Linked DNA regions of Drosophila melanogaster. The protein of the gene in region 1 purifies or fractionates together with the protein of each later gene. This does not show direct contact. Each region holds a gene or a part of one and is shown on either strand. Other genes may lie near its edges. The genes, in order: spas and atl.

The links.
Region 2: the proteins of spas (region 1) and atl purify together in Drosophila melanogaster (affinity purification with western blotting, with the first as the bait; one study listed by BioGRID). This does not show direct contact.

What each region holds. Positions count from the first base shown.
Region 1 is NT_033777.3:24,036,515-24,047,997, forward strand, and holds spas (spastin), read left to right. Parts: upstream 1-1,700; 5' UTR 1,701-1,994; coding exon 1,995-2,748; intron 2,749-3,080; coding exon 3,081-3,251; intron 3,252-3,396; coding exon 3,397-3,582; intron 3,583-3,791; coding exon 3,792-3,958; intron 3,959-4,053; coding exon 4,054-4,306; intron 4,307-4,364; coding exon 4,365-5,110; 3' UTR 5,111-6,140; downstream 6,141-11,483. Other genes in the region: Miro (mitochondrial Rho), read right to left, coding at 1-304, 417-1,034; Rox8, read right to left, coding at 7,450-7,631, 7,683-7,776, 7,844-8,752, 8,924-9,151. UniProt on the Drosophila melanogaster protein: ATP-dependent microtubule severing protein. Stimulates microtubule minus-end depolymerization and poleward microtubule flux in the mitotic spindle. Regulates microtubule stability in the neuromuscular junction synapse.
Region 2 is NT_033777.3:24,623,852-24,634,914, forward strand, and holds atl (atlastin), read left to right. Parts: upstream 1-1,819; 5' UTR 1,820-1,961; intron 1,962-3,214; exon of another isoform or gene 3,215-3,524; coding exon of another isoform or gene 3,525-4,811; intron 4,812-4,864; coding exon of another isoform or gene 4,865-5,221; intron 5,222-5,283; coding exon of another isoform or gene 5,284-6,015; exon of another isoform or gene 6,016-6,224; intron 6,225-6,439; exon of another isoform or gene 6,440-6,899; intron 6,900-7,931; 5' UTR 7,932-8,045; coding exon 8,046-8,240; intron 8,241-8,305; coding exon 8,306-9,519; intron 9,520-9,581; coding exon 9,582-9,648; intron 9,649-9,706; coding exon 9,707-9,856; 3' UTR 9,857-10,863; downstream 10,864-11,063. Other genes in the region: Syx18 (syntaxin 18), read right to left, coding at 116-304, 624-1,622; wsck, read right to left, coding at 3,525-4,811, 4,865-5,221, 5,284-6,015; MtnF (metallothionein F), read right to left, coding at 10,906-11,063. UniProt on the Drosophila melanogaster protein: Membrane-anchored GTPase that mediates the GTP-dependent fusion of endoplasmic reticulum (ER) membranes, maintaining the continuous ER network. It facilitates the formation of three-way junctions where ER tubules intersect.

The DNA.
Region 1 (11,483 bases):
TCTCCAACTGGTCGTTATAGCCAAAGCGCCGTAACACCGCCCAGGTTGTCTCGTTCCTTCCCCGCTGAATGAAAAGGCAGTGTAAGAAGAGGAAGCCCTTCAGGGTGACCGCATCGTTGTATATGCCATCGGGCACATTTTTCTGTATCACGGCCTTCACCTCATCAAGGATTTGCGGCTGGAGTGGTGTGTTGAAACAGCGTCGCTGGAATAAATTCAGCTCGTAATCGTTCAACAGATTGTCCCCGTCAATGTCGCAGATCTTGAAAATGCGCACCAGCGACTTCTTGCAGGCGGATGTGAGCTGAAAATGCGAAGTTTTATTAGAAGAGTACAAGCTGATTACCTATCGCAAAACCGCCAATTACGGCGCAATGATATAGTTGCGACCTATGATCCACTCCGGAAGCACTTACCTCCTGTTCTTCCATCATATACAGGGGAGAAGTCGGGTGCAGCACAGCCTTCTGGGCGTAGTAAAACATCTCGGAGATGTTGTGCAGCGACTTGGCAGAGCACTCCACGCAACTCTCAATCTCGGGGTAGTCTTCCATGATGGCCAGCACGCTGTCCATGGTGGAATACTCGATGAGGTCTATTTTGTTACCCACCAGAACGATTGGCTTCCGAATGGGCTCTCGTTGTGTGTCTCCTTCCGCCTCCGCTTCGGCATCACCCTCGCCGTCCAGGGAGGGATTGCACTTGGCCCGGACGAGCGGCAGCCAATGGGATGTGATCCGATCCAAAGTGTCGTCATCGTCCACGGCGTACACTATGCACACCACGTGCGCCTTGTTAATTTCGGCGGCCAGGGCATCCTCCGACTGCTCCACGGCCGAGAAGTCAACTATGCTGGTGGGCACCTGCTCGGGCGTCACGTTCGCCGGAATGGTAATCTCCTCAGCCCTAGGCGGAACCTCCTCCGGGTACTCCTCACTGACCAGAGACAGAATCAACGACGTCTTACCCACCCCGGCGTCGCCGACGAGCAGGATCCTAACATTCTTGCGCTGCGACGCCGTGTACTGTCCCATTCCGACTGCTCTCCAAGTGAGATATGCCGCTCCTGTGCTCGTGCTCTGCTGGTCAGAGATCGCTGGCGTTTAGGCCGAAATTCTAGGATTTTGTTATGCAAAAACGCAAAAAAAAACAACCCAGAGTGATGGGGATGGCAGTAGGTGTATCAAGGTCGATATATCGCAACCCAGCTACCAGGGCTGCCACACTAGGCGACCGCCAAATAATGCGATATTTTTCCCCAATTTTCCGGCAATTGTGTTTGAATTCTACGAATTTAACAAATCAAAACTATTATTTCGATCAGTTGCTTAAAATTGATCACGTAATTTAAATATTTCCATCCAAAAACATCGGATCCGAAACTGTCTGGTAACTTTATTGACAGCTGGATCTCTACGATATGACAAGTTAGCGTTTTTCCGCTAAATCAGCCAACCGTTAAGGATGTTGTAAAGGACACAAAATGTTTTCTGTTAAAAATATTCGTATAAACAAAAAGGAAATGATAAACAAGGCAATAAATCAAACTTACCTTCAATTACGAATGTCTCCATACTGCACTTCGGTGAAAGTCTCCCAAATTATATTTCATCCGTTACATTCCACCATTTAAACTTTGAAATTGCCTGTTTGTCTGACTTCACAACCTTGCCCGCTAGATTTGGTAATCGATAGTTGGTCAGCACTGGCTGGGACTCCAGAGCTTAGCTTCAATTTTCAACGTAGTGAGAGTTGTAAGTGCGGAAGAAAATCAGTACTCTCGGATATCAGCAAAATGAGCACTAGCTCAAACGACGTACAACAATAATATTCGAGATTTGTTTGTTTTTTTGTGCGGCATCGATACAAACGCGTGCCACGGCCAACCGATTTGGCTTACAAGGATAATTTCCCCGTGCAACTTTCACGGGGTTAGGGCAAGGAGAGCAGGGGGCCGGAGTGCTGGACGCGCAGACAGCGCGGAATCGATATCGATGGTACGCACTAAAAACCAGTCGTCCTCCTCCAGCGCCAGCAGCAGCAGCACCAAGTCACCAATAAAGTCCAGCAGCGGGGCAGGATCATCCGGCGGAGGACTCGGTGGTCGCCAGTCCACTCACCGCTCGTCGAGCGCCTCAAACGTTGCTGCCGTTGTTGCCGGCGGTTCATCTGCCGCCGGTGGAGGCTCCTCATCGAATCGCCGTAGTCCGGGCAGCTCACCCGACGGCGACGACGACACCACCACCACAGATGACCTGACCCCCACAACGTGCTCCCCACGCAGCGGCCACCACCATTCGTACGGCGGCTACTCGTCCTCTGTGCACAAACAGAACCTCTACGTCGTCTCGTTCCCCATAATCTTTCTTTTCAACGTTCTGCGCTCGCTGATTTATCAGCTGTTTTGTATTTTTCGCTACCTATACGGTGCGAGCACAAAGGTGATATACCGCCCGCACCGACGCGACTGTAATATTGAAATCGTGGTGCAGAATTCCTCCAAGGAGCAACAGCAGTCGTTGAACCATCCTTCGGAGCTGAACCGTGAAGGTGACGGACAGGAACAGCAGTTATCCAATCAGCCACAGCGTTTCAGGCCCATTCAACCGTTGGAGATGGCCGCCAATCGTCCGGGAGGAGGGTATTCACCTGGTCCCGGCGATCCATTGCTGGCCAAGCAGAAGCATCACCATCGACGCGCCTTCGAGTACATCTCCAAGGCGCTCAAAATTGATGAGGAGAACGAAGGTGAGTTTCGGCGACGGGGGTGGCAGCTCCAGTTCGAGTTCGAGTGCTCGAATGCTCAATGAGTCATCGCCCGCTGTCCGCTTTTGTTGTCTGTCGAGTGTGAGAATCAATAAGGCAAAACGCGCGCACAATGGATGCCCCAAATGTCAACAGGAGTAGGGTTGTCTGCCTTGATGGACTTTTATGGAGTGGAAGTTCTCCAAGCATGCGATTTTTAAATTCTAATGCATATAAGCGTACTCTTTGTCAAATTATTTATAAGAGGAAAGCGAGCTTGATTGAACATAATAGTTATAAAATAAACATAAAATAATATTATTCTATATATTCAGGTCACAAAGAGCTGGCAATTGAGCTCTACCGAAAAGGTATCAAGGAGCTAGAGGATGGCATAGCTGTCGATTGCTGGAGTGGACGTGGTGATGTGTGGGATCGGGCTCAGCGCCTGCACGACAAGATGCAGACAAACCTTTCGATGGCGCGGGATCGTCTCCATTTTCTAGGTAAGTGACCAGTCATATTTCCTATACCCCTAAAACATAGGATTTGTTTACCTCATTTTTTTTTTATTTCATTTTGCACGTTTTCCCCTGCTTTTTTGTTGTCCCCTCCGTTTTGTCCATATGCACATGTTCATCCGGTGCGCAGCTCTGCGTGAGCAGGATTTGCAAATGCAGCGCCTCTCCTTAAAGGAGAAGCAGAAAGAAGAGGCTCAAAGCAAGCCGCAGAAGACCAGGGAGCCCATGCTGGCAGGAATGACCAACGAACCAATGAAACTAAGGGTGCGCAGCAGTGGCTATGGGCCCAAGGCCACCACCAGTGCCCAACCCACTGGTAAGTTCCTCACCAGCTAACGCGCACCCAACAAGATCCTCACACGCCAGCGCAAAGCCACCATAAGCAGATCGATTAGTCAATCCCTATCACCTCACTTGGCACTTGATTTTCTTAGAATTTTTTATTTCGATTGGCCAAATTGTAAACTTGTAAAAGAGTATATTCTTCCGCATTATCCATCTCTGATTGTGCTAATTCGTTCACAGCATCTGGCCGCAAACTGACAATTGGATCCAAACGACCCGTCAACTTGGCCGTGGCCAACAAATCACAAACGCTGCCCCGCAACCTTGGCTCCAAAACATCTGTAGGCGCAGTCCAAAGGCAACCAGCCAAGACAGCTGCAACGCCTCCCGCCGTTCGGCGACAATTTGTGAGTATCTGATAAGTAAACTAAATTTGTTTTTACACATTTGGCAAATACTCAGAAATTAAAATACTAATTAAACTAAATTACTCATATTACAGTCTTCGGGGCGTAATACGCCGCCCCAGCGTTCGCGGACTCCCATAAACAACAACGGACCCAGTGGCAGTGGCGCCAGCACTCCGGTGGTTAGTGTGAAGGGAGTGGAACAGAAGCTGGTGCAACTTATACTCGACGAGATCGTCGAGGGTGGGGCCAAAGTGGAGTGGACTGACATTGCCGGTCAGGATGTGGCCAAGCAGGCTCTACAGGAAATGGTCATTCTACCCTCCGTCCGACCGGAACTCTTTACGGGTGAGTTGGTTATTCTGCGACTAGAACCGTCACCATAACCAATCTTCTTCCTTTTTAGGGCTTCGTGCACCGGCTAAGGGTTTATTGCTGTTTGGTCCTCCCGGAAATGGCAAGACACTGCTGGCCCGCGCCGTGGCTACTGAGTGTAGTGCCACCTTCCTGAACATTTCGGCTGCCTCGCTGACCAGCAAGTACGTGGGGGATGGCGAGAAACTGGTGAGGGCTCTCTTCGCCGTGGCCCGTCACATGCAGCCCTCCATTATTTTCATCGACGAGGTGGACTCGTTGCTTTCAGAGCGAAGCAGCAGCGAGCATGAAGCATCGCGTCGCCTAAAGACCGAGTTTCTAGTGGAGTTCGATGGGCTGCCTGGAAATCCAGACGGAGACAGGATCGTGGTGCTGGCCGCCACCAATCGACCGCAGGAATTGGACGAGGCAGCCCTGCGTCGGTTCACAAAGCGCGTTTACGTCTCACTGCCCGACGAGCAAACCCGCGAGCTGCTCCTCAATCGACTGCTCCAGAAGCAAGGCAGTCCGTTGGATACCGAGGCGTTGCGTCGCCTTGCAAAGATAACAGACGGATACTCGGGCTCCGACTTAACGGCACTGGCCAAGGACGCCGCATTGGAGCCCATTCGAGAGTTGAATGTGGAGCAAGTGAAGTGTCTGGACATCAGTGCAATGCGTGCAATCACAGAGCAGGACTTTCACAGTTCGCTCAAGCGCATCAGGCGCTCGGTGGCGCCGCAAAGCCTCAACTCATATGAGAAGTGGTCGCAAGATTATGGCGACATCACCATCTAGTCTGTTCTAGCCAATGATCCTGCCCTCCTTCATCAATCCAATTTGGAGAAGCTGTGATGTGAGTCTCAGAGCGCAACCCATTGTCGTTACACTAGTTTTGATTATGTGACCCATGTTTTTCGCCCTTAAGGTTCTATTCAATCCGTAGACTTTTCGTTTCACAAACATTGTTACATTTGTATTTACCTGTGAGTTATTTAATATGATTTGTTTCCCAGCTATTTCTGGTGTTTTAGCCTAAGAACATTGTATTGTATTTTTTCGTTGTTTAACCACCATGTCCATGTGGTGCAACATTTGCCATGCAGCTCCATTATCGTTATACTCATACTCATGGTATATATTTCTAAGATCTGTACTTTTCATTGGAGTTCTTAGAATAGTAGGTTTGCCCTATCTTCGTTTATGATAGTAATTCAAGGCCACATTGCTTTATAAATTAGTTTTTTGAAACATTCCGTAGTGATTTTTTGTAAGACAGGCGGCCCAAGGAGTTCACAACTACTTCCATTGTATCCTTGAACTATAAAGCATATTTTTGTTGTACATTGAGTGCCCATCCACAAGCTACATGTAATCTAGAAGTAAGCGTAGACCTAAGACCGATGATATACTTATACACACCCACAAAGATACATTTACCAGCGCAGAATCGTATTTAAGTTTTAATAGTTATCACTGTCCGTATGGTTAGTCTAGTTTAGTTCCTTTGTTTCAATCTATGTACCTACAGCCATAAATACAATCGTCTCCGATTCACCTATATTATTAGTAACACACCCAAAAATGTTGTACCTAGCAGGTGCGTATGGATCTGGTGTTATCAGATCGATCAGATACATCTTCACCCGCGCACATGCCCGTCGCTTATCGCGACACATTGAACCAGCTTCAACGCAGCTCGCCCACCCGGAATTTGAGTTCTTTGACTAGTTACTAAACACAGATACAAAAAAAAACTACATGCATATAAAACTATATATATAAAGAAATCTATAGAATACGCTAAATAAAATCGATTTCAAGAAACATCAATTGCATTCTTAATCATCAACAAAATTCTAAGCTATTGGAAACCATTGGTAGTGTATTGAGAATTGAGCAACGGCTGACATCACCAGGTGCATTTAAATTAAGAGAAAGTAAGCAGAAGAATTAAGCATTCATGAAAACTAGTTTCGCAGAAAAACTGCGTCTCACTAGAGAATATTAAAGCTATAAAATTCATTCATGTATGTATGTTATACCTTAAGAAAACTTTTTAGCACAATTGTAAAAGTTAATTACTTTTTAACTATATTTTAGACTCCGCTGAATCCTCCACCAGATTTGTAGTAGTAGTAACCACTTCTATCATCAATGATATAAATTAAAGTTTGAAATAATAATTCCACATCCTAATTCATTACCTCAATATAAAAACCAGCGTCCCTTCGTTTTCTCACTTGTTTTATATATTTTTTTGCTTCTTTATTTTACATTTTACATATTTATATCGCATTTCGTTTTCCACATTGGAAATATACAATATGTATGCTCGAATTTACATTCTCTTAGTGACTAAATTTGTTTTTCCTCTTGTTTTTGCATTCGGCTTGCTTGCTTGCGGCTATCCTTTCATCCCACTGAAACTACCCTCTTTCCGTCTTCAGTTTTCGTTGACACATGTTCCACATAGTTACAATTACAATTTGCTTTGTCACGTTTTTGTTTCGATTGTTTTCTTTTTGTTTTAACTCTGTCGCGCGTAATTAGCATTTTCTCTTTTCAGTTTTTATTTGTTTGTTTTTGTTGAATTTCTCATTCGGTTTATTTTATTTCCGTTTCGTTTATACGCCTATATCTGCTTAAATTAGAAATCATTAAATTAATTTAACACGTACTTAGATTGGATTAGATTGTTACAGCTACCCGCCCATCGCCCGGAGCTTTTCAATTGATGTTCTTTCAGTTGTCGCCGGCGTGGATCACTTGAAGTTGAGCTCCACGCACCGCCTTAACGTTCGACTTTGGGGGGCTATATACCACACCCGATTCCGCTTCCTTCCACCGCAGTCAGCCGCAACCGTAGCCACAACTTCAAAGTGGACACTCGCGCATCCTTAATAATCTCCAGATACATTGCCACCGTCAATGTGGCTGCTGCCGCTGGTCAACGGCATGGCCAGGAGCGGCTCCGACTTTGCTACTACTCGGTATTGTACGTAACCTAAACGTGCGTAATGCGCTTGCAACTGCTGCAGGTGCGGAAGCTGATGCAGCAGAGGTGGTTGTGGCTGCGGCTGGGGGCGACTTCCCGGATGCTGCAAACGGCGTCGAAGCTGGCGTCACATCTCAGCTCATTGGGTCTGGTATTGTGGCATCGCAGCACTGTACATCATTTGGGGGGCAAGTGATCCGTTCGCTGCAGCGGCCGCGGATGCTGCGGCAGCCGTCACACCGGGCACCACAGTTCCGGGCACGCCCCATGCTACATTCGGCGGCACCATGCGGTATCCAGCCGCTGAAAATTGTATGCAAGCTGTTTAAGCCAAGGTCACGATTATTCAGCAACTGAGAAAAGTAAACTTACGGACTCCTCCCGCTTGCTGAGCACTGGTAGGGTAGGCGTAGGGATAGTAGCCCTGCTGCATGTATTGCGTCTGCATCTGGGTTGTGGGATAAGTCTGCAGAAAAGCACAAAGTTAGGGTCAATCTTTAGGTCACTGCGTATTTAAAGAATACAACACTTACCGCAGGTGGATACCAGTAGCCCATCTGCTGGTACGCGTATGGATACTGCGCCGCAATCTGCTGGGGTGTCATCATTTGGCCGGGTATCGCCGCTCCTGTTGCGGCGGCGATCTGTTGCTGCGTCATCATCTGACCGGGCATACCCGCTCCAGCGGCAACCGCAGCATTGGCTGCCGCAACGGCGGCAACATTGGCAGAGGCTGCTGCCGCGGCAGCGGCGGCATTGAGGTTATTGGCCGAGTTATCGCCTCCGTTCTCTTTGCCCCAGAAGCACTTTACCAGGTTTCCATGTACCTCGCTGTTGTGCGTGTGCTCGATGGCGTGGGCGGCTGCCTCCTTGGTAACAAACTTGATGAACGAGAAGCCCTTGTCCTTGAAGACCCGCACGTCCTGGATGGGACCAAACTGGACGAAGTGCTTGTGCATCAGGTCGTCACTGATGACATTCGGCGGGAATCCGCCACAGTATACGGTGGTGTTGGTGGGGCTCGACTGGTTATACACTTCCTCGAAGGTGTGGCGTTGACTTCCCTTTACACCGGACCCATTGCCCGGTCCGCCACCCATTCCGCCTCCCTGGCCTCCGCCCTTGGAAGGCTCGCGTGGTGGTGGCAGCTTGCGCGTGGACCAGTTGGTGCGTATCGAGCGCGAGCCAATCCACTGGCCGTTCATCGCCTGGATGGCGTTCTCTGCCTCCGCCTTTTTCACAAACGACACGAAGGCGTAACCCTTTGACTTCATGGTGTGAGGGTCGCGCACAATGCGACAGTTGGAGATCTCTCCGAATGGGGCGAAAGCCTCGCGCAGTGTTTCTGTCTCAATCTCGGGACTGAGGTCGCCCACGAATATGTGGTGGTGCGAACTGATGTCTGTCTTCGGCTGATTGCCGGGACTGGTGGCCCAGTTGACCTGCGAAGAGCATTCGTTTAATAGGTAATAATCAATTAAGTTCTACATAATTAAAATAACATGAGGGCTTGGTCGTGGGGAATGTGTGTGTTGCAAGAGTGTAGTTTCGAACAAAATGAATGAAAATGACCGCTGTCCACTTGATAACTTAAGAGAAGCTAATCAGCTTACCTTGATTTCCTTTTCGAGGAATAGGCGTTTATTCATGGCGGTCAGAGCTGTTGTGGCTGCCTGGTAGTTGGAATATTCGATGAAGGCATATGGATCGTTGCCCGGTTCCCGAATGATTTTGCAGCTTTTGACGGGCCCCATGGTGCTGAAGAGGGCAATTAGCAGGTCCTCGGACACTGAGCTATCCAGGTTGCCCACGTATAGGGTCTTCGGTTGCGACTCGTCCATGGCTGTCGGATGTCACGGGACTGTGGCTTTTTTGATCTGATTATACACTAGGCTACAGCGACAATCTACTGACTCTACACTAAAACCGGAATTGCAACTACTGCACCTGGCCGCATTAATCGGAAGGGGATGTATCAAAAATTTGCAGATTAAGTTCCTAGCTACGTACAAAATCTAAAGTGTCTGCTAATTAAACAGGTGTATTTGCGGCAATCTAATTGGTGCTAGCTGCTAACAGGAAACTCCAAGAGAGATTTGAATACTTTGATTTTCTACTACTTTCGACTTACTCTCGGCTTGGCTTGATTTTTTTGGATTATATAAACTTTATATGCTCAATCTAGGTAGGTTGATCTATTTGCTTAACGCTGAGGTTCGTCGTTTATTGCTTTATTTTGTTCCTAATCTGGCGCCTAATTGAAAATTTCGTTAAACATCTATATGTATACGTATAAATATATCTGTCCTAACTAAACGCTAATGGAGTGTTTTGGAATATACGATTAGTCGCCTAATATATATGTCTATAATCGGTTGACTTCCTTTCCTGGGGGCCTGGGATTTGGATTCGGGGTTTCTTGGTGTACACTACTTGGTATTTCAGAATTGCTCGATCCTTCTTCGATGATCCGGATGTTGTTGTTGTGATTATAAATAGTTGTCCGTTCCAATATACAGGATTGTATAAATGTACATATGAATACTTGGTTGCGACTACTTATTCTTGCTCTTGTACAAAAATTAGTTAGCTAAGTTAAACAGCGTGAAAGTTCGCAGGCTGAGTGTACTTTTCGGGTTTCGAAGCTGACCCCTGGAATCGTTGCTGCTGTAAAAGAGAGAGGTAAATTTGGGTTAGTTTTGCGCTGATAACCGGAAGAGTGGGACAAGGTCTAATGGCACATGATCGGTGGGCCTTAAAACAGGCGCAAATGATATGGATATAAATCGACTACCCCGCCCCGCCCCCTTTTCGCATGATGGGAACAAAGAAGGCGGCAAAGCAGTGCAGGGACACGCACACACAGACGCACGCTCACACACACTGGCGCACACGAAAAACACGGGGAGAGTGAGTGAGCTATCTTCGGAGCGAGAGAGGCGGGTGGGAAAGGACAGGGGAAAGAGACTGCCTGTCTTTATAACAAAGCGAATGGCCAACAATTGACAATAGCCATTCATTCGCAACAAATTTGCGGGCCTTGCAAAATGATTTAGTTTATAATTAATATATTTCTGTATTCACATTTACAAATTTTTTTTTGGGCCACTCACGCACAGCACACAGAAATGCACACTCAGGCACGCCAGCGAGACGAGGGCGAAAGGAGAACGACGAAAATCGACTAGAAGATGAATGACCGTCGATAACAAAATGAGGAGAAAGAAAAACAGGGAAAAGGAAGAGAAAGATGTGGGAAATTTTGCGAAACCGGCGGGCGGGTGACACACACGGTTGCATTAGATTCGTGTTCTTCTTCTTCACACTTTGCGAAATCAAATTTTAATTTGCATAGAACTAAACTTGATTTTGATTATTTCTGCGGCGGCGGCGCTAGAAAATGTCAGTCAAAGTCACAGAACTGAAGAGACGGCGAAAAGGGAATGGCGGGGTGGTTTTGGTTGCTCATTTGCTGCTTATTTTCTTCGTCTCTTTTTCGCACACACACTGACACATTAGCACCGACACGCACACACACACACGCAGAGAGAGGCGTCTTGCGCTGGTCTTTTTGTTTGCGTTTTCCTCACATGAGTCTCCACTTTTCTTTTGCTTTTGCTTTTTTCCGCTTTTGGCTATTGAGTGTATTTAAACTAATGCCAATATACCAATACCAAGACGATTTGAATGCGGGACTTTTCATTTGCCTTTTCAGCTTGCCGCTATATGTACGTATATGTATGTATCTTGTTCGCTTTTGTGCTGCCATCTTTTAATGCCGCTCCCCCGCCACCAACAACCGCCACGCCTCCGCCCCGACCCTGCTGCCTGACAGCGGTGCCGAAAACTGGGCTTAACAATTATCGTCCCCGCCGCACTATAGTGCATTCGCTTAATGTCCATTGTTCAGACTCGAATTTCGCTGTCAAAATTCGCACTCTCTTCTTTTTTCTTTAATGCGCTCTCTGTGACGTGGCTGCGTTTGTAAATTTACCGCATTTTACTTGCTCTGCACTCTGTTCGCACACTTCATTTGACGGTCAAGTTTAGCCGCTACCGGTTTGTATTAATTTTGCGAAACTTTCAAAGTTGTTAGGGGCTGCAAATGTACGTTGAACGCGTCGCTAAAATTTTACCTTCGTCGTCTAAAATGCGAACTAATTAATGAGATTT
Region 2 (11,063 bases), 590 kb from region 1:
TATAAATTATGTAATAAACAAAATATGCTTTTAGTGCGATCAAACGATAACAAAACATTTTTGCATTTATCATTCCCTAAATTGGGTGGGTTACACATAAATTTGGGGACTTCACTTAATCGTAGTACCAGTCCAAGAAGAGCAGGGAGAACGACATGACCAGCAGGAAGAACAGCGACCACACGCGTAGTCCTGCATTTCGTTGAGTGGCCTGCCGGATTTGCTCGTTGGCGTCCTTGACGTTTTCCGTGGTGCCCACGACGGCACTAACTATCCTGTCGATATTGTGCTGTTGCATGGCGACCTACAAAAGGGAAAGGGAAATTTAAGAGGATTAAATGAGATTAGGACGTGGATCTATCTGGATCTAGTTAATAATTAATTGCATGCTAATAAGAGCCCGGCTTATACATCCATTGTAATCGCGAAGGATGTGGATTTTAGCGAAGCCAATTAATATTTTTAATTGAAGGATTAAGTCGACAAACATATGGGCAGCCACTTAAACCCACTAAGTATTCTTGGCAATATGGAGCAATATGTTCTCACCAAAATTAAACTAAAGATATCGTTGTTAAGAACAGCAAGGATTCCTTGGGACTTGTGTTATCATGCCATCTTACCTTTTCGGTGAAAATGTCCTGCAGTTGGGCAATGTCTACCACGTTCTTTTCGATCTGCTCCACCTCCTCGGAGACGCCCTGCAGAAAGTTGTAGATGTGTACGTTCTCCGCCTCGAAGAGCTGCACATCCTCGGCGCTTAGGGGATCGTCATCGTCGGCCTCCTGCTGCTGCTGGAGCTCCTCATCCAGAGCCATCTTGGAGGATGAGTTGTTCAGATCCGATCTGTTGGCTTTGCTTCGTTTGCGCGTACGCGGTTTGTGTTGATTGGCCTGATTGGCTTCCTTGCCCTTCTCGCCATCGTGATCGTCCACCTCGTCGCCTTCCTCGTCTTCATCCCAGTCGCCCCAGGCGTCGTTATTCCAGTCATTGTCGGCGGACTCGTCGTGGTTGCCATTTGCTTGTGAAGATGACTTCGTGGCTTCGCTGTCATCGTTGCTGACCTGGCGCCTGCCCAGCTTGCCACTGTTGCTGCCCGCCGGACGCACTGGTATCTTCTTTTTGTCCGCCGCCAGCTTGAGCAGCCTATAGGTTTCCAGTTCGTGTTGCACACGGTACTTCTTTTGGTCCAGATAGATCTGTTCCACGCTGTGCAAATAGCTGACCAGCAGGTCCAGCACGGCGTCGATGTGCTGACGCTCCTGCGGCTTCCGCTTGGCGCTCTTCCAATCGCTGCGCATCTTGGCCAGGTGCTGCGTGTAAAAGGTGACGAACTTCTCCGACTCGCGATCAATCAGATCCCGCTGCGCGTCGGTCATGTGTGCGGCGGACTTGAGGTGCTGGCCAATGCGCATGTAGGCGGTGCGGTTCTCGATCAGCACATTGCGCAGCGAAGTGATCTTGTTGCACACCTCCTTGGCCTGCTTGGCGAAGTCATCCTTTGGGCCAATTGGTCCAGTTTTTGTCGGCACTGTGGCGGGCTTGGCCTTTCCGGCCAGCTCGGCCTTGCGCTGCAGGCGCACCGTCATTACGCTGGCCTTGAAGCTCTGGGTGATGTCCATAGCTATTTGCTATAACTAAGTTTGAAATATTTAACTTTTAAATCCACATCATCGGTCCAACACAATGTGGCCGTTCGTTTAACCGTTTGCAGTGTGACCTTATGATGACCGTTAATATATACCAGTTAGCTAATACTAAAAATAGCTAAATGTTATCGATAAGCATTTCAGTGTTGGCTAATGAATTTTCACCCCCACACTTATAGGTGATTTTTCGCCCAACGGTGTACGGTCACACCATTGGCAGAGCACAAACAAAATACGTACTTTTCTGCTTCCAAAGTGTCGAAAAATCGCAGCGCAGTGAAGTCCAGTGTCCGATGTAAATGGTTAAGTAAAGTGAGTAACAAAGGCCGACACAGAAGCCGCATTATTTGCGCAGTTAGCCGACCATTTGGTAGTGTGCGTGAGTGGCTCCGTCGCAGTGCGTTGGTGTGCGTGTGTGAGCAACCAGTTTCCTTGGATTCCTCATAATCTCCATGTGTGTATATGTAACAAAAACAATAACAATTTAACCAGGCGAATGCAAAACACTCGCAAAGTTGGCCAATACCGGATGAACCTCATCATCATCATCATCTTCCACATATTCATGAGCATGGTCGGCAGTCGAAGCCCCTGAATTCCGATAGCAGCCATTCAGCTCGATTTATTAATAATAATTGCCCATTTGCTCGGAATGTATACACATTTCAGTGACTTCAATTGTTCGTCGTCATTTCACCTTGAATTGCGGGCAAGGTAAGCGTCCAAAAGTCGCTATGGATATCGTTGCGCTTCATTTACCGTATTTACCATATACTCTATAAGAAAGTCGCTCTAAATTCCGGGTGAGCCATGTGCTTTGGGTTTTTTGGTGGATCCAATAGTTACACGTCGACAAGAGAAACAATGGCTTATCTTCTTTGGGAAGGATCCCGAGATAAGCTTGTACATAGTGAGAAATTTTAAGTACTGATAACGAATTTTGAACATTTCATTTGAAAAGTGCATATCGGAAGAATATACACAGATTTAGATTTTTTTTTTTTTTTTGCTATGTAGCTTCATTATAAGATGATTGTCCAAACCAATGGAATATACATACATAAAGTGCCCTACTATTTCGGATGACTAATAATGCATGTAACCGCATCTAGGCTGCTGCCAACAATTTCCCTAATTAATTCTTAAACAACATAACAAACAATAGATGCAATGCAAGACCTTTAAACTGATTAATCGTCAATTTTGATCCACTCACACTTAAGCAACACCGCCGTTTATTTTCTATTATTAATTGCTGCTCGCCAGCGATCAAAGTTTCGCATTCGCGGCTCTCTCCCTTGGTTTTTTTTTTGCTTTTAGTTTTCGCTTTTGTCTGGTTTGTGCAACATCAGCGATCGGCGGGGGAATCACAGTCGCTGGTCTGTTGGTAGATCCATTCGCTATGGATCCCTCAATTTATTACACAATTTTGGGGGCCAGACTGTCAGTAGTCTTTTATCTATCGCGCTCTCCATCGAGCACGTTCGCTTGAACTTTGTTTCGCGTGGGGGAAAGTCGATTCCTTTCTTTCGGGTTGTAGATAAGCAATTAACTACCTTATAGATCTGATAAGCTCTGGCATAGAACACTCTTTTATTTGTAGGAAGTTTGTGCGTATTAACAATAAACATCGAATTGTGTTTCATAAATGCTCACTTCTAATATTATATGGATAATAACAATTTATGAGCTTTATTAAATCAATGTGTAAATTCTAAAACAAATTATTTTCTCTTCAGAACACTGAAAGTGAACTCATCTAAAATCGAAATGAAGTGATGTTTTCTCTTAGCAGCAGTGACTCAGAACCGAAATCTACTCTATGCGAATGTGGTCTCTCGCTGACTAAAGCTAATTATACTATTCGGCTGCACCTCAGCCCATCGTAGCAACGGCTTCCAGTTGCGGCAGGTACGGAGGCAGGGTGTCTAGTCCGCCGGCCACTCGATCAAAGCTGAGGGCATGACGCGGTGAGGTCATCAGCTGACGTACTCCGAAGGCCACGTCCTCACAGCTGCTCCGCTCGCTCGGCTCCAGCTGCCAGCAGTTGAGCAGCAGCTGGTAGAGATCCCCGTAGACGTAGGCTGGCTGCGCCGGACGCACTGCAGCCCGAATGGCCTCTAGAAGCTGTTGGTTACTTGCCACTGCATTGGCATAGGGAGTACCGCCAAGGGCACAGCATTCCCACGCCACGCAGGCCAGGGACCAGACATCAGAACGGGTGGAATGGTGATGCTGATGGCGCAGCACCTCCGGGGCCAGCCACCGGTTGTGGTCTGGCTGCTGGCGAGCAATGTTCATGTAGGGCAGCGGTCCAAAGACGCTCAGTTTTAGCTTGAAATCGCTGGTAACGAAGACGCTGTGCGAGCAGAGCTGTCGATGCACCACCTGGCAGCTGGATAGATAATTCATGGCACTGGCAAGCTCGTAGATCCACTGCAGCACTAGCTGCTCAGAGAGGGAAGTCAAGCGTGGCGACGGTGCCATCAGGCGACTCTCCACCAGTTTTCTCTTTAGACTCATGCGTTGCTGCTCGAAGATTAGGTAGAACCAATCGGGACTTGCTGATACTCCATAGAAATCTAGCAAATGCTCCTGGCGCTTCAATTGAGACAACTGACGTAGTTCTCTCAGCAACTGTGCCTGTGTAGTACCATTCAGATCGTCCAGACAGAGCACGTGCAGGGTGCAATCTCTGGCAAAATCGTTTGTGGAAACCTTTCCGGTTATAATCTCACCAAAGCGTCCGTCTCCGATCACATCGTTCACATTTAGTCGTAGTGCATTCCTTGGTATCCGTTCGTATCCTTCCACCAACTGTTGCAACTGCTGCTTGAAGTTTTCCGGCGAGTGTGGCAGTGGATCGTCCTCCACAAGGTATCCGTTATTTTCCCGCTCGATTATGGGCGTTTGCAGCGTCATCTCGTGCGTATTGCCACCAGTCAATCGTCGCCCGCGGCAGGTCTTGTAGCGCAGATAGAAGTAGGCAATAAGACTGAGCAGGAGGCAGGAGCCGAAGATCACACAGGTGACAGCTAGGGCAACCACCGAGGATTGACCCTTCTCAAAGGTGGCGTAACTAAAGTCGTCTAGGGATGTCACATGCTGGTCGTGAGTTCCACGACTGTACATCGTCTTGGTAACGCCCTCCAGTGTGCTCACCTAGAATATAAATAGTTACAGAGATATTCATTCGAATTTAATGCATTACTCACCAATCCGAGACTGATGTGGACATGTGCATCTGGTTGATCCAACGGCTTATTGGTAAATCGTCCGTAACGCTTGCCATCGCCGACCACAAAGCGCCGGGTGCGATTGTCCTCCGGTCGATCGTAGTCCAATTCGGCGGCTATGTAGTAGGGCACTCCATCTTGTTGAGCCTGCTGCCAGCTGCCCAGGAGCTGGGCATCGAATGGCTGACTCAGGGCGTTGTCCACGTATTCCACGATGACGAGCAGTTTGCTCAGCGGTCCATTGTCATTCCGAATGGGCGACAACTCGATGGTTACAGTGCGGTCAGTCCGGCTGAGGATTTTCGGCTGTGCTGGCACGGGACTTGGAAGGCCCACCTGAAATTTGGAGTAGTAATGTTATTGGTTAGGATTCTCGTTAGAATTCAAGCATTACCAACCTCCGTGGTGGCTTCTATCGAGGCCTGTCCGCATTCAGATTGACCTACTTGGGCATCCTTGCACATGGCTCTCACGGATATGTTGTACAGCGTGGCGGGATGCAAGTCTGTGAGTTCAAACTGCGTTTCCGTGCTCTGCACCATAAACTCAGGCTGCGGGAAGGCGGGCAACGAGGAGTAGGTCTTCAGGACCTGAGCTTTGATCAGGAAGTTGTCCAGTAGCTGGTTGGGAAGCACTGCCTCCGCGCCGCCGGCCAGGAGTAGTTTCCTCGCCTCGTACGCATTCCAGCTAAGGGTCAGGCTGTTCTCCGTTTTGTTCGAGATTCTTAGATGATGCGGACCCGGTTGTTTGGTCAGTATGGTGGAGTAGTACGAGTGCACACCAACTCCGCCACAATACTGCGCTTTGTTGGCCAGGCAGCGAGTGTTGCAGAGCTGTTCATCCTGTTGCTCCTGCGGCTCCAGGACATTTGCACAGAAGCACTTCTCGGAGGCCAGCACGGCATAGTGGTGACCCTGATGCTCGCAGATCTCGATGCAGGTCTGCGGTGTCTTGGCGTACACCGATTCATGGAGAAGATCCGTTCGTGCCGTGTAGCAACCAACGTAGTAGTAGGCAGGTGCTTCCTGGGGGACAGCTGCTCCTAGCGGAAGGCCCAAGCACATGGCCACGAGGCAGCTCGAAAGCCAAATCGGAATTGGGCGGTGTCCGCTGTGTGAACCGCATTCCATGGCTTGCAAATCTCGAATGAGCAGCTAAGCTCCTGCACGCCGGATGACTGATATCCGCCTGGGCTTTCTGTTGCTTCTTTGGGGGCTAGGACTGCCAATTAAACACTTTTCACGGGCAGCCAATTTAGGCAAATTAAAAACTTTTATTCTTTTTCCCCGCTCAACATTTTCCAAGCGCTTCTGCTGCTGCTTCTTCTTCCACTGCCGTTGTTGTTGCTCTCGGCAACCGTGTTTCCATTTCCAGTTGACTAATCGCTCTGCCGACGTCGACGCAGGCCGCACAACTGTTGCTGTTACTCTCCAACACCTTTGTTTACATCGCCCGCTAGTTGCAAAAGCTGCAAGTGTAAGTGGGACAACTGGTGTGTTGCGAAGATCGTCCGTATCTGGCGGCACCGCTCACACACCTGCTGGACAAGCCTGGTTCCAAACGGCATTGCCAGATGTGATTGTTATTTTGAATTTTAAATTCCCATTCAGCGCGCCAAAGTCTCGGACAACAGTTGGTCTTAATTAAGTGGCAATGTGTTAATTGGACAGACGCGATTTTGCTAACGTTGCAGCTGCCGCCGGACCAATTGCATTACCCACCTCCCTTCCACCACGGTGTCTATTCCTATTTTGCCATGTGGCGACGGCAAATGAGAGTTGATCGGAAAAGAGAGAGTACCGCTTCGCTCTCTTTTTGAGGTAGCCGATTCATTGGTGACTTGCGTGTTGTGCTTGCAGTTTGATTTGGTTGACGGTCGCGCTGGTCGTGTATTTATATTCATATTCCCATTCCGCATCCGAATCGGACTCAATTAGACGCAAGCATAACTTTTATGTGGCCTGTATAATCGGGAGTGTGGCATAATTCCCCACCGATCTCTTGTCTTAATGTGGTATGTTCTTCACTTGTTTTGGCTGCGTTTCTAATTAGAATTCAAGTGGTCAAACTGCGTAGCGCGACAAAAGTTGTCGACGTCATCACAACGCAGCTAACGAAATTAATTTTAATGTGTTCCCTTCCTACGGCTTACATACGAACAGTCAACTGTGCTGAATTCGTTTAACCCGATTTGGAAACCCTTTGAGTACACATTCGCCATTTGGTGTGATAAAACCCAAAAGGAACAAATGAATAAGTGATCGTGTTGCAAAAAAACAACACATCAATCAAGAACTTTAATAAGGTCAATAAAATCACCGAAAGACCGGTTTCCGATGAATTTCTTTCCAAGTTATTTTGAGTATCTGAAATAATTGAATATGTTTTCTCCATATGGGCTGTAAAATACACCGTGAAATCTGTTTTAATGTTGAAAGTTTAGTCAGTAGTAGTAGTAATAAACCGGTTTTCTTATCATTTAGTAGCCGTAGTTTCTAAAGTGACAATCAAAACCATATGCCTTTAAATTGTATACTTGTGTCTTCAGCCGAATCTGTTTAGTTTGTTCCTAAAAACAGTTGATTTTATAAGCAACAACTATAGTTTGAAAACCAGATTGCCATATGCTAATTGAATGGTAAGGTTGTATCTAAACATTGATTACTGATTGATTACACATCTACCAAGTACCATTCCTCGGATAGATTGGTACATACATACATATGTACATATATCCCACGCACCTGAACAATCCGCTTACATAGTGCCCCACTGCCCCTTCGGTTGACGTTGACATCTTCTGCGATCGGGGAGCAGCGCATGTTTGGGTTTATTTTTGGCCACCTCTCATAATTGCAGGCCTTTCTGTCCGTCGCTCGTGTCTCGTGGCTGTGCCAAATTTAAATGAACTCACGGCGCAGAGGCTTGCGCAATTAAATGTTGGCCTAGACTCGCAAATTTTCCCTTTGCCGGAAATGGAAAAATCGCTGAAAAACAGAGCAGACATTTTCTCCATACTTATCTAGCTGTCTGTTTATGCTTGCAGTTGACAGGTCGAAATCCAAAAGATTAATAAGAAAGAATTTCCCAACGGAGGCAAAAATAGCCGGTAAAACAGAGACAGCAAACGGAATAGCAGACAAGGATTCCAAACACCATAATGGGCGGATCGGCAGTGCAGGTGATCAACGCCTCCGAGGAGCACACATTTGTGCTCAACGAGGATGCGCTGAGTGAGGTCCTAATGCGGGATGAGGTCAAGGATCGGTTCGTCTGCGTTGTCTCCGTGGCTGGAGCCTTCCGAAAGGGCAAGAGCTTCCTGCTGGACTTTTTTCTGCGCTATATGTATTCAAAGGTGAGTCTTGAAATTGCTGCCACTGCAAGCATCTTCCATTTACCACACTCTTTTGAACATTTTAGTATGTGCATCACGATGCGACAGACTGGCTGGGAGGCGAATCAGATCCGCTGGAGGGTTTCTCCTGGCGCGGCGGATCTGAGCGCGACACCACCGGCATTCTCATGTGGTCCGACATATTCCTGCACGACTATCCCAACGGCGACAAGATAGCCATCATTCTGCTGGACACACAGGGCGCCTTCGACAGCCAGAGCACGGTGCGCGATTGTGCCACCGTTTTTGCGTTGAGCACAATGCTGTCCTCGGTGCAGATATACAACCTGTCACAGAACATCCAGGAGGACGACCTGCAGCACCTGCAGCTCTTCACTGAGTATGGTCGCCTCGCGCTGGCCGACACCGGCAAAAAGCCGTTCCAGCGTCTGCAGTTCCTCGTCCGGGACTGGAGCTTTCCCTACGAGGCGGAATATGGTGCACTGGGCGGGGATAAGATTCTGAAACGACGTCTGGAGGTGTCCGACAAACAGCACCCAGAACTACAGTCCCTGCGTCGCCACATTTCGTCCTGTTTCACGGAGGTGGCCTGCTTCCTGATGCCCCATCCAGGTCTCAATGTGGCCACCAATCCTAAATTTGACGGTCGGCTGCAGGACATCACGCCCGAGTTTAAGAGTAGCCTGCGCTCCCTGGTGCCCATGCTGCTGGCACCGGACAACCTTGTCTACAAGGAGATCAGCGGACAGCGGGTGCGGGCCCGCGATCTCATCCAGTACTTCCAATCGTACATGAACATCTACAAGGGCAACGAGCTGCCCGAGCCGAAGAGCATGCTGGTGGCCACCGCAGAGGCTAACCATTTGACTGCCGTGGCCGCCGCCAAGGAGCTGTACGGACAGCTCATGGAGGAGGTGTGCGGTGGAACGCGGCCGTACTTAAGCACCGCCCATCTCCAGACGGAGCACCTGCGGGTGAAGGACAAGGCACTGTTCCAGTTCGCCGCCAAGCGCAAGATGGGTGGTGAGGAGTTCACCGAGAAATTCCGCAAGCAACTGGAAGATGATCTTGAGGAGGTCTTCACCAACTACCAAGCACACAACGAGAGCAAGAACATCTTTAAGGCAGCACGGACACCGGCGGTGTACTTCGCCTGCGCCGTCATCATGTACATCCTTAGCGGCATCTTTGGATTGGTGGGTCTCTATACGTTCGCCAACTTCTGCAACCTGGTTATGGGTGTGGCGCTTCTAACGCTGGCTCTGTGGGCCTACATTAGGTAGGTTGATTTAGCTTGAGCTTTTGATGATAATTTTGCCAACGATGTTTTATCAATTCCAGATATAGCGGAGAGCTCAGCGACTTTGGCGGCAAGTTGGATGACTTTGCAACGCTATTGTGGGAGAAAGTAAGTAGCTGGGAATCTAGCGAAGATGTTCGTGTACTAACCTACGCTATGCTTGCAGTTCATGCGACCCATCTATCACGGCTGCATGGAGAAGGGCATCCACCATGTTGCCACTCATGCGACCGAAATGGCTGTCGGCGGAGGCGCAGCCTCCTACCGCTCCCAGACCTCGGTGAATGCGTCCAATGGCAAGGTGAAGCGGTCATGAGAATACGCCCAAGGAGCGCAGCACAAAACGCAGCAGCCGGTGCCGTCGCAGCCGCCGTCGGCAAGAACCAATAACAACAACAATAATAATAACAACAACAACAATGTGGCATACAAATCAAACAGGAGCAACAACATTAACGAGGCCGACGGTTTCATTCACAACATCTGGCGCAAGTTCGGCGGCAGCAACGAAGAGAAGGGCCAAGTCAGCACCCAAAGTCCAGCGACCCCGTCCTCTTCCTCCCAGGCGCCAAATAGTCGCAAGAAGCGCAAAGCGAAGCGCAATTAGGTGTCCATGGACCAAGTAGAATGGTTCGATTTTCGAAAGGACGACTCCCCCTCTAATTTGTATAAATCTAAACCCTTCTATAGTGCGTGAGAACCGGAAACACAAACGTCTAGCTATTAATTGCCCTTAAAGGAAGTTGTTTTTATATTGCATTAATTGAAGTGTAGATGGTCTATATTACGTATATTTAAGAGTAAGTGCATCATTAGTAAGTGGCTCGTGTCTGTTGAAAAGTGAAATTTTAAATTGTTTTTTTACAAACGATATGCGTCTGAAACGGATATATGAAATTTAACGCTGTAATATAAAGAAATCGCTAACGAATTTAATTTGTTTAATTTCCATCCAAGGCGTACTCCCCCCACCTACCCGCCTCCTTTTCCATCTTATCTCATCTTTGGTATAGAATTCCATAAGCAATCTATGTATAAACAGAGTGCACATTGTTGTTGGCTGGTTTGCTAAGCGCCTCATTTTGCCACCTTTTGTTATTTAAAATTATAAAAAAAACAAAAAAACACGAAGAAAATAAAATAGAAGTCATTGCCACCCATTAAAGTTCAACGCGAAGGAGCAATGCTGGTATAGGTCATTAGTTTATCTTGTGCAGTAAAATTTATAGAACTCTTGGTTTTGTTTCGATTAAACAATAAATGTATTTAATGATAACAGCTCACTAGCAGTTATGGCCATCGAAAAATAAATGGAAAAAACGTATTTTTTTTTTCCAATACTGACATCAATGGGGGGTTGGGCTTTTACTTCTTTGAGCCACAGCAACTTGACTTGGCATCGCCGCCCGCTGTGTCGCCGCCATCCTTCTTGCAACATCCGCCCGAGGAGCTGGCATTCGACGGATTGCATCCACACTGTCCGGGTTTTTGGCACTTGCAGTTCTCGCAGCACTTCTCCGGCG